Xenopus tropicalis: one gene and its partner. The protein of the gene in region 1 interacts with the protein of each later gene in a biochemical or structural test. Links are inferred from orthologs where the notes say so. Each region holds a gene or a part of one and is shown on either strand. Other genes may lie near its edges.

What was found.
Region 2: the proteins of rab6a (region 1) and kif20a form a complex in vitro, tested with the Homo sapiens proteins (2 studies listed by BioGRID). The link is inferred for Xenopus tropicalis from reciprocal best matches to the Homo sapiens genes RAB6A and KIF20A.

What each region holds. Positions count from the first base shown.
Region 1 is NC_030678.2:174,052,036-174,055,535, forward strand, and holds part of rab6a (ras-related protein Rab-6A), read right to left. Parts: intron 2,733-3,500; coding exon 2,674-2,732; intron 463-2,673; coding exon 409-462; intron 1-408. UniProt on the Homo sapiens protein: The small GTPases Rab are key regulators of intracellular membrane trafficking, from the formation of transport vesicles to their fusion with membranes.
Region 2 is NC_030679.2:47,845,145-47,849,348, reverse strand, and holds the start of kif20a (kinesin-like protein KIF20A), read right to left. Parts: upstream 2,801-4,204; 5' UTR 2,658-2,800; intron 464-2,657; 5' UTR 445-463; coding exon 286-444; intron 1-285. UniProt on the Homo sapiens protein: Mitotic kinesin required for chromosome passenger complex (CPC)-mediated cytokinesis. Following phosphorylation by PLK1, involved in recruitment of PLK1 to the central spindle. Interacts with guanosine triphosphate (GTP)-bound forms of RAB6A and RAB6B.

The DNA of each region.
Region 1 (3,500 bases):
CTATAAACCACTGGCTGGTTGCTAGGTTAAACTGGACCCTAGCAACCAGATAGCTGCTGAAAACCCAAGCTGGAGAGCTGCTGAACAAAAAGCTAAATAATTTAAAAATCTGCAAATAAAAAATGAAGACCAATTGCAAACTGAATACATTATACTAAACCTTAATTTAAAGGTGAACTACCCCTTTAATTCTCCTTTCAATGTTTCCGGACCGACCGAGCATCTCTGGGGCAACAAGGCAACTTCCTTTCCTGTAAAGCACTTCCAGCATGACTGTATTGCCCTACAGACTTACTGCCCTCTGCTATGGGGGCAAATCTAATCTGATAAAAGCCCAGACACCGAGCATCGACGCTGCAGGTTCCATCGGGAGAGGCACAAAGCCAAACTGGCCCATACAGTACTCACTGTTCGATCCTCTAGGTACATTGTTTTGGATAAGAAGTCAATTCCAATTGTTGCCTAAAACCAAAGAAGAGAAAAACATGTCAACTGTGTGTATTTTAGGAGGTTAAAAACATTTTAATAGGCTTTCAACTTAACTATATAAAACTATGGCACATAGGGATTCCCCTGTACTAAGCACAATTCAGCAGGAACAGCCCCCTAAGTTTGCTCATAGCCTGTACAGAGAGATACCATAAAACTATGGCACATAGGGATTCCCCTGTACTAAGCACAATTCAGCAGGAACAGCCCCCTAAGTTTGCTCATAGCCTGTACAGAGAGATACCATAAAACTATGGCACATAGGGATTCCCCTGTACTAAGCACAATTCAGCAGGAACAGCCCCCTAAGTTTGCTCATAGCTTGTACAGAGAGATACCATAAAACTATGGCACATAGGGATTCCCCTGTACTAAGCACAATTCAGCAGGAACAGCCCCCTAAGTTTGCTCATAGCCTGTACAGAGAGATACCATAAAACTATGGCACATAGGGATTCCCCTGTACTAAGCACAATTCAGCAGGAACAGCCCCCTAAGTTTGCTCATAGCCTGTACAGAGAGATACCATAAAACTATGGCACATAGGGATTCCCCTGTACTAAGCACAATTCAGCAGGAACAGCCCCCTAAGTTTGCTCATAGCCTGTACAGAGAGATACCATAAAACTATGGCACATAGGGATTCCCCTGTACTAAGCACAATTCAGCAGGAACAGCCCCCTAAGTTTGCTCATAGCCTGTACAGAGAGATACCATAAAACTATGGCACATAGGGATTCCCCTGTACTAAGCACAATTCAGCAGGAACAGCCCCCTAAGTTTGCTCATAGCCTGTACAGAGAGATACCATAAAAATATGGCACATAGGGATTCCCCTGTACTAAGTACAATTCAGCAGGAACAGCCCCATCAGTTTGCTCATAGCCTGTACAGAGAGATACCATAAAACTATGGCACATAGGGATTCCCCTGTACTAAGCACAATTCAGCAGGAACAGCCCCATCAGTTTGCTCATAGCCTGTACAGAGAGATACCATAACAATATGGCACATAGGGATTCCCCTGTACTAAGCACAATTCAGCAGGAACAGCCCCCTAAGTTTGCTCATAGCCTGTACAGAGAGATACCATAAAACTATGGCACATAGGGATTCCCCTGTACTAAGCACAATTCAGCAGGAACAGCCCCCTAAGTTTGCTCATAGCCTGTACAGAGAGATACCATAAAACTATGGCACATAGGGATTCCCCTGTACTAAGCACAATTCAGCAGGAACAGCCCCCTAAGTTTGCTCATAGCCTGTACAGAGAGATACCATAAAAATATGGCACATAGGGATTCCCCTGTACTAAGTACAATTCAGCAGGAACAGCCCCCTAAGTTTGCTCATAGCCTGTACAGAGAGATACCATAAAACTATGGCACATAGGGATTCCCCTGTACTAAGCACAATTCAGCAGGAACAGCCCCCTAAGTTTGCTCATAGCCTGTACAGAGAGATACCATAAAAATATGGCACATAGGGATTCCCCTGTACTAAGTACAATTAAGCAGGAACAGCCCCCTAAGTTTGCTCATAGCCTGTACAGAGAGATACCATAAAACTATGGCACATAGGGATTCCCCTGTACTAAGCACAATTCAGCAGGAACAGCCCCCTAAGTTTGCCCATAGCCTGTACAGAGAGAGACCATAAAACTATGGCACATAGGGATTCCCCTGTACTAAGCACAATTCAGCAGGAACAGCCCCCTAAGTTAGCCCATAGCCTGTACAGAGAGATACCATAAAACTATGGCACATAGGGATTCCCCTGTACTAAGCACAATTCAGCAGGAACAGCCCCCTAAGTTAGCCCATAGCCTGTACAGAGAGATACCATAAAACTATGGCACATAGGGATTCCCCTGTACTAAGCACAATTCAGCAGGAACAGCCCCCTAAGTTTGCCCATAGCCTGTACAGAGAGAGACCATAAAACTATGGCACATAGGGATTCCCCTGTACTAAGCACAATTCAGCAGGAACAGCCCCCTAAGTTTGCCCATAGCCTGTACAGAGAGAGACCATAAAACTATGGCACATAGGGATTCCCCTGTACTAAGCACAATTCAGCAGGAACAGCCCCCTAAGTTTGCTCATAGCCTGTACAGAGAGAGACCATAAAACTATGGCACATAGGGATTCCCCTGTACTACATGACATTAGACTACACGCTTACCTGGTATGTGTTGTCAAAGCTGTCATACATGAACCTGGTTATTAAAGAAGTCTTCCCAACTAGAGAGAGAGAGAGAGAGAGAGAGAGAGAGAGATAATTAGGCTCTATAGAACACACAGGCACATACTTCTAAGCAATTAAAGGCGTTGTTGGCCTTTAACTTCTAGTTCGATGTAGAGACTTCTATTCTGAGACAATTTGCAATTGGCCTTCATTTTTTAATGTGAGTGGGTTTTTAAATTATTTAGCTTTTTAGAAGCTCTCCAGTTTGGTATTTCAGCAGCTATCTGGTTGCTAGGACCCAAATTACCCTAGCAACCTGGCTATGATTTGCGTTCGGGACTGGAATATGAATAGGAGATGGGCAGAATAGAAAAGATTAACAGTAACAATAAAACTGGAGCCTCACAGAGCAATAGGGTTTGGCTGCCGGGGTCAGTGACCCCCATTTGAAAACTGGAAAGAGGCAAATAATTCAAAAACTATTAAAAAAAAAATGAAGACCAATTGAAAAGTTGCTAAGATTTAGCCATTCTTAAATTTATGGATGGGGCAAACAAGTGGGTAGGGAGTTGGTTACTAACTATTAACAAACCCCACCTCACCTGAATGAATGATACAATATACACTGTGTAAACGGAAACATTGCTACAATGCCCCCCCCAGTAGTAAGGACACTTGGCACAAAGCAGGGAATGTAGGGGGAGGGGGGACTAAAATACACACAAACCGGAGGAGAGCAAATTTACTCAGCCACGTGTCTGTATTGACATTGCACAATGTGCCTGGCAGGAGCCGGCTACTCGCGAGGGGAAATGGCTGCGCTA
Region 2 (4,204 bases), on another chromosome or scaffold:
TAGCTAAAAAGATCTGGCTGGAGGAGGACTGCAAAAGCCAGTGGATGTGGTCTGAAACTGACTGCCGACCCACATATTTGGTATTGGTTTGATTTGGCCATACCATCTGGTGACCTGCCCAAGCAAACAAATCTTTCTGTGTACAGCCAGCTTAGGTACGTAATAAGTATTTGTAAGCTCAAAAGTTATAGAACAAACAATACATAGAACAAACCTTGCTCACTCCTAGCAAGCTGTCCAGCATTGGACTGAAAAGAAACATAAGACTGGGTTGACTTTCTATACCTGGGGAGGATGGCCCAGTCCTGGTGAGATGACAGAGAAGTCAGACAGAAGTGCTTTTCGGATTCCTGCCCCACATTCAGCTGCAGTAGATTCAAACACTGGGTTCTCCTCATCATCTGAGAGCAGTCCCATGCCAGGGGATACAACATTGCTAACCATGATTATTCAGGCCCTGTACCTAGTAGGGAAAGTAATGGTAGCACTGAGTAAATGCAGAAAATCAAAGACTCAGTTGTGTGTATAGATATATCCAGCTGCTTTAACTTTTGCAAACCTGCCATGACCCTTAGGAGAGAAGTACTAACACAGAACTAATAGCACAGTATGGTGATATCTAATAATAAATCATGTCTGAACCACTACATTAAACAAAAAGTGAGTGTAATGTACAGTGTTTATGCTTTATGGGTGTGACTGACCTAATTCGGAGAGTATGCTAGTTTCATCACAGATATAAAGAGAGCAAGAAGGGTGTAGTGTTGTCCCTGGTAACCGCAACTTACAATATTTATTAACTGAAAGCTGTTGAATATAGGATTTCTGCAGCACAAGAATTAGTTAAAATTATATATATATATATATATATATATATATATATATATATATATATATATATATATATATATATATATATATATATATATATATATATATATATATAAACAGATAATACCATAATTTTAGTAGGTGTTGGAGAAAATCCCTTGTACAACACAACCAAAAATCTGTGTCAGACAACATCCCAGTGTTCCATTACCCTATGGTCTGCCCCACAGAAGGTGCAGGATAATAGAGACAGAGGAAACAATACTACTCATGTAAGAAAATGCCACTCATGATTGGCCAACATGCACCTTCCCCCCCATCCCCCTGAGGTGTGTGGCACCTAGAAAAATATAACTTGGACTAGTGCAATTTTTCAATAAAAACCTACACCAGCCTGGGTTCCAAAGAGTAGTGGTGATTTCCCTTACTGTAAGTAGCTCAACAAATTGGACTTTTGTAGTAGTGTTTTAACCTTTAGGTATATTTTAATCTATACAGGAATATAGTGTATAATTTGCTTTCATTATGCAAAAAAAACATGGACATTCCCTTTAAGACTTTTAGTATTAACAAAACATTCACTTCATATTTCTGTAATGTCTTGCTTACTAAGTCATGAATATAAATAACCCAATATCAGAAGTGAAAGCCACCACCTAAAAAGAAAAGATATTCAATATCATCTAAAAGAATGGAATGTGCACATATGAAAAGGCACATTCCATTTTCATAAGTCACTTCCCTATGACTTAGCAAACAAAACTACTGACACATTCTCAGGTTACAGTGCACTTAACATTTGCAATTTTAGAACAAAGACTTTTGTACCAGAAAAAAAAAAAAAAACAGGTTTAGAGTAAGTATACAGGAAAGGGACTTATTTACATGCAGTTAAACCTTTCCTTCACTGTATATAAATAGATTTCCTTCTTTCCAATGTAACCATATTGTTTAGGTGATTGGGTAGGTACTGTTAAAATTGTTAATAGCTATTAACTGTACTATAGTTAAAGGAATTCTGGTATAATTCATCTTAAGTATATGTTTCCCTGTGGACAAATTCCATGGGTCTATGATACAAAAATGTATATATATGTTTGTATACTCACACACAACACTTTCCTGACCTCTTTAGGCCAGGGCAGATGAATGACATTTTAGGAGCAAGTTACCATAAAAGTCCTGCATAGCGGCAAGTGACATGAGGGAATGGCAAAGATGGGAGTACTCAAAGCCACACTCACGTTATGCCCAGCACTGGCTTGTGACACACACTGGCACTTGAACACACTGTGATATTTGAAACTGCAGTCAAACACCTACACAACAGGGTAGTAGAGGCCAGTGGGAAATAAGCAGCCCTCCAGGGGATTTTATACCTCCCCCTTCATCCCCAGGTTCTTCATTACACAACATCATTTATATATATAACCCAGCCCTCAGTAATACATAATATCAAAGAAATGACTGACAATTCTTTTATCAGTACAGTGAATGCCTGACCCACTATATGGAAACAGACAGCACTTAGCTTTAGACAGCACTCCCACCATATACTTCCTGCATTACCCAGCAGACAAATAATAAATATAATACCCCTACTTTTGAACAACTCCCTGTATGCGTTACTAGTGGCAGCACAATAGATCGCCAGTCACTGGGACAACCTTCGTATGAAAAGATTATAAATACATAAATAATAAACCATATAGGGCAGATATCTAGACAGAAGAAGTAAACCTCAAAGCCAGTGAACTAAGAGGGATCATACCAAGGTACTGAATATAGAAACATATGTAGAATCTCCCAATTACAACAAAACTAACCTGTGTTATAATGACCCTTGGTATTACCCTGTGAGCCCCGGACCGAAACCACCGCCTCCCGGGACAGGCAGCTCTCAGCAGACTCGTGATTCCCGACTGTTGCTACTTTCCGAATTCAAACTAGGCGCTGGGGAATTCAACCAATCCTAAAGAACTTTGCTTGTCGCAGCCAATCGGATATTGAGAACTCTGTCATCCAATAGGCTTTCTAGTTAAGGAAACCTTGCTAGACTAGATGCGTGCTCAACCAAACAGTGCGATTATTGGATCTGGATGAAATAACCTGCCCTTTCTTCCGGCTCATACGGGAATCATTATTTCAACGTGTTGCTTTGTTTCAAACTGTTGTGCGAAAATGTGGTGTTTTTGTTTGAATTATTAAAGGTTTCGTTATACTGACAATTGCTAAATAATAGGGAAAAACTCATTTCTAACTACAAAACTGTACCAGTCTCTGTTTTAGCTTTTTATATAAAAACTATTTTCTGACTACAAAATTGTGCCAGTCTCTATTTCAGTATTTTATATTGCAGTAAGTATAAATACCAGTATTCTTTTATTTTCTTACACTAAAAAAAATCCAAGCATTTCTTCAAAATAACTAATGTATCTGACAGCATCCATTTCAGGGGAAAATTCTAGTTATGCGCCGAATCCCAGATTCAGTTTGGGATTCGGGCGGAATCCAGCCTTTTTATGATGGATTTGGTTTTGGCAGATCCAAATCACAATTAGCATATGCAAATTAGCATTCAGAAAGGGTTAAATTTTGGGAGGAAAATTTTTTTGAGCGGCAAATTTTAACCCTTCTGAATTACTAATTAGCATACGCTAATTTGGATTCGGCTCAGGATTCAACAGAATTCATTTTGGCCAAACCCAAAATAGTGGGTTCGGTGCATCCCTGCGAAAATTCCACAACTTTTAAAATCTCACCTAGGCATGAAACCTAACTGCAGCCCCCCCCCATGACATCACGTGCATCCCTGCACCTGATGTCCCAACTGTCACATCCACTGAAGATTCCATCTGACCCCTCATCCTCCCCCTTCCGCTGTTGGATTTATGCTGGAGTGTCTGTTGGCAGCTGGGAGGGTTACTTTTCTTTTTAAAAAAATTTAGGGATAATATAGACACCTGACTTACTAATAGGCATGAAGCGAACCTCAAAAAAAAAGTTCGCGAACCCGTTCGCGAACTTACGCCAAAAAGTGCGAAAGTTCGCGAACTTTGCGAACCCCATAGACTTCAATGGGAAGGCGAGCTTTAAAACCTAGAAAAGCCATTTTTGGCCAGAAAACTGATTTTAAAGTTGTTTAAAGGGTGCCACGACCTGGACAGTGGCATGCAGGAGGGGGATCAAGGGCAAAAATTTCTCTGAAACATACATTGTTGACACAGCGTTGCGCAAAAATGCAAGCTATTCCTATGTATACGCAAAGGCAGCTGGCAGACCTAGTGGAAATACGCTGCATTTTTTGCTATTTCACACTATTAGCACCATAGAAACGGGATTTGCTTACACCAGTACTAGGCTGAAAAACGCC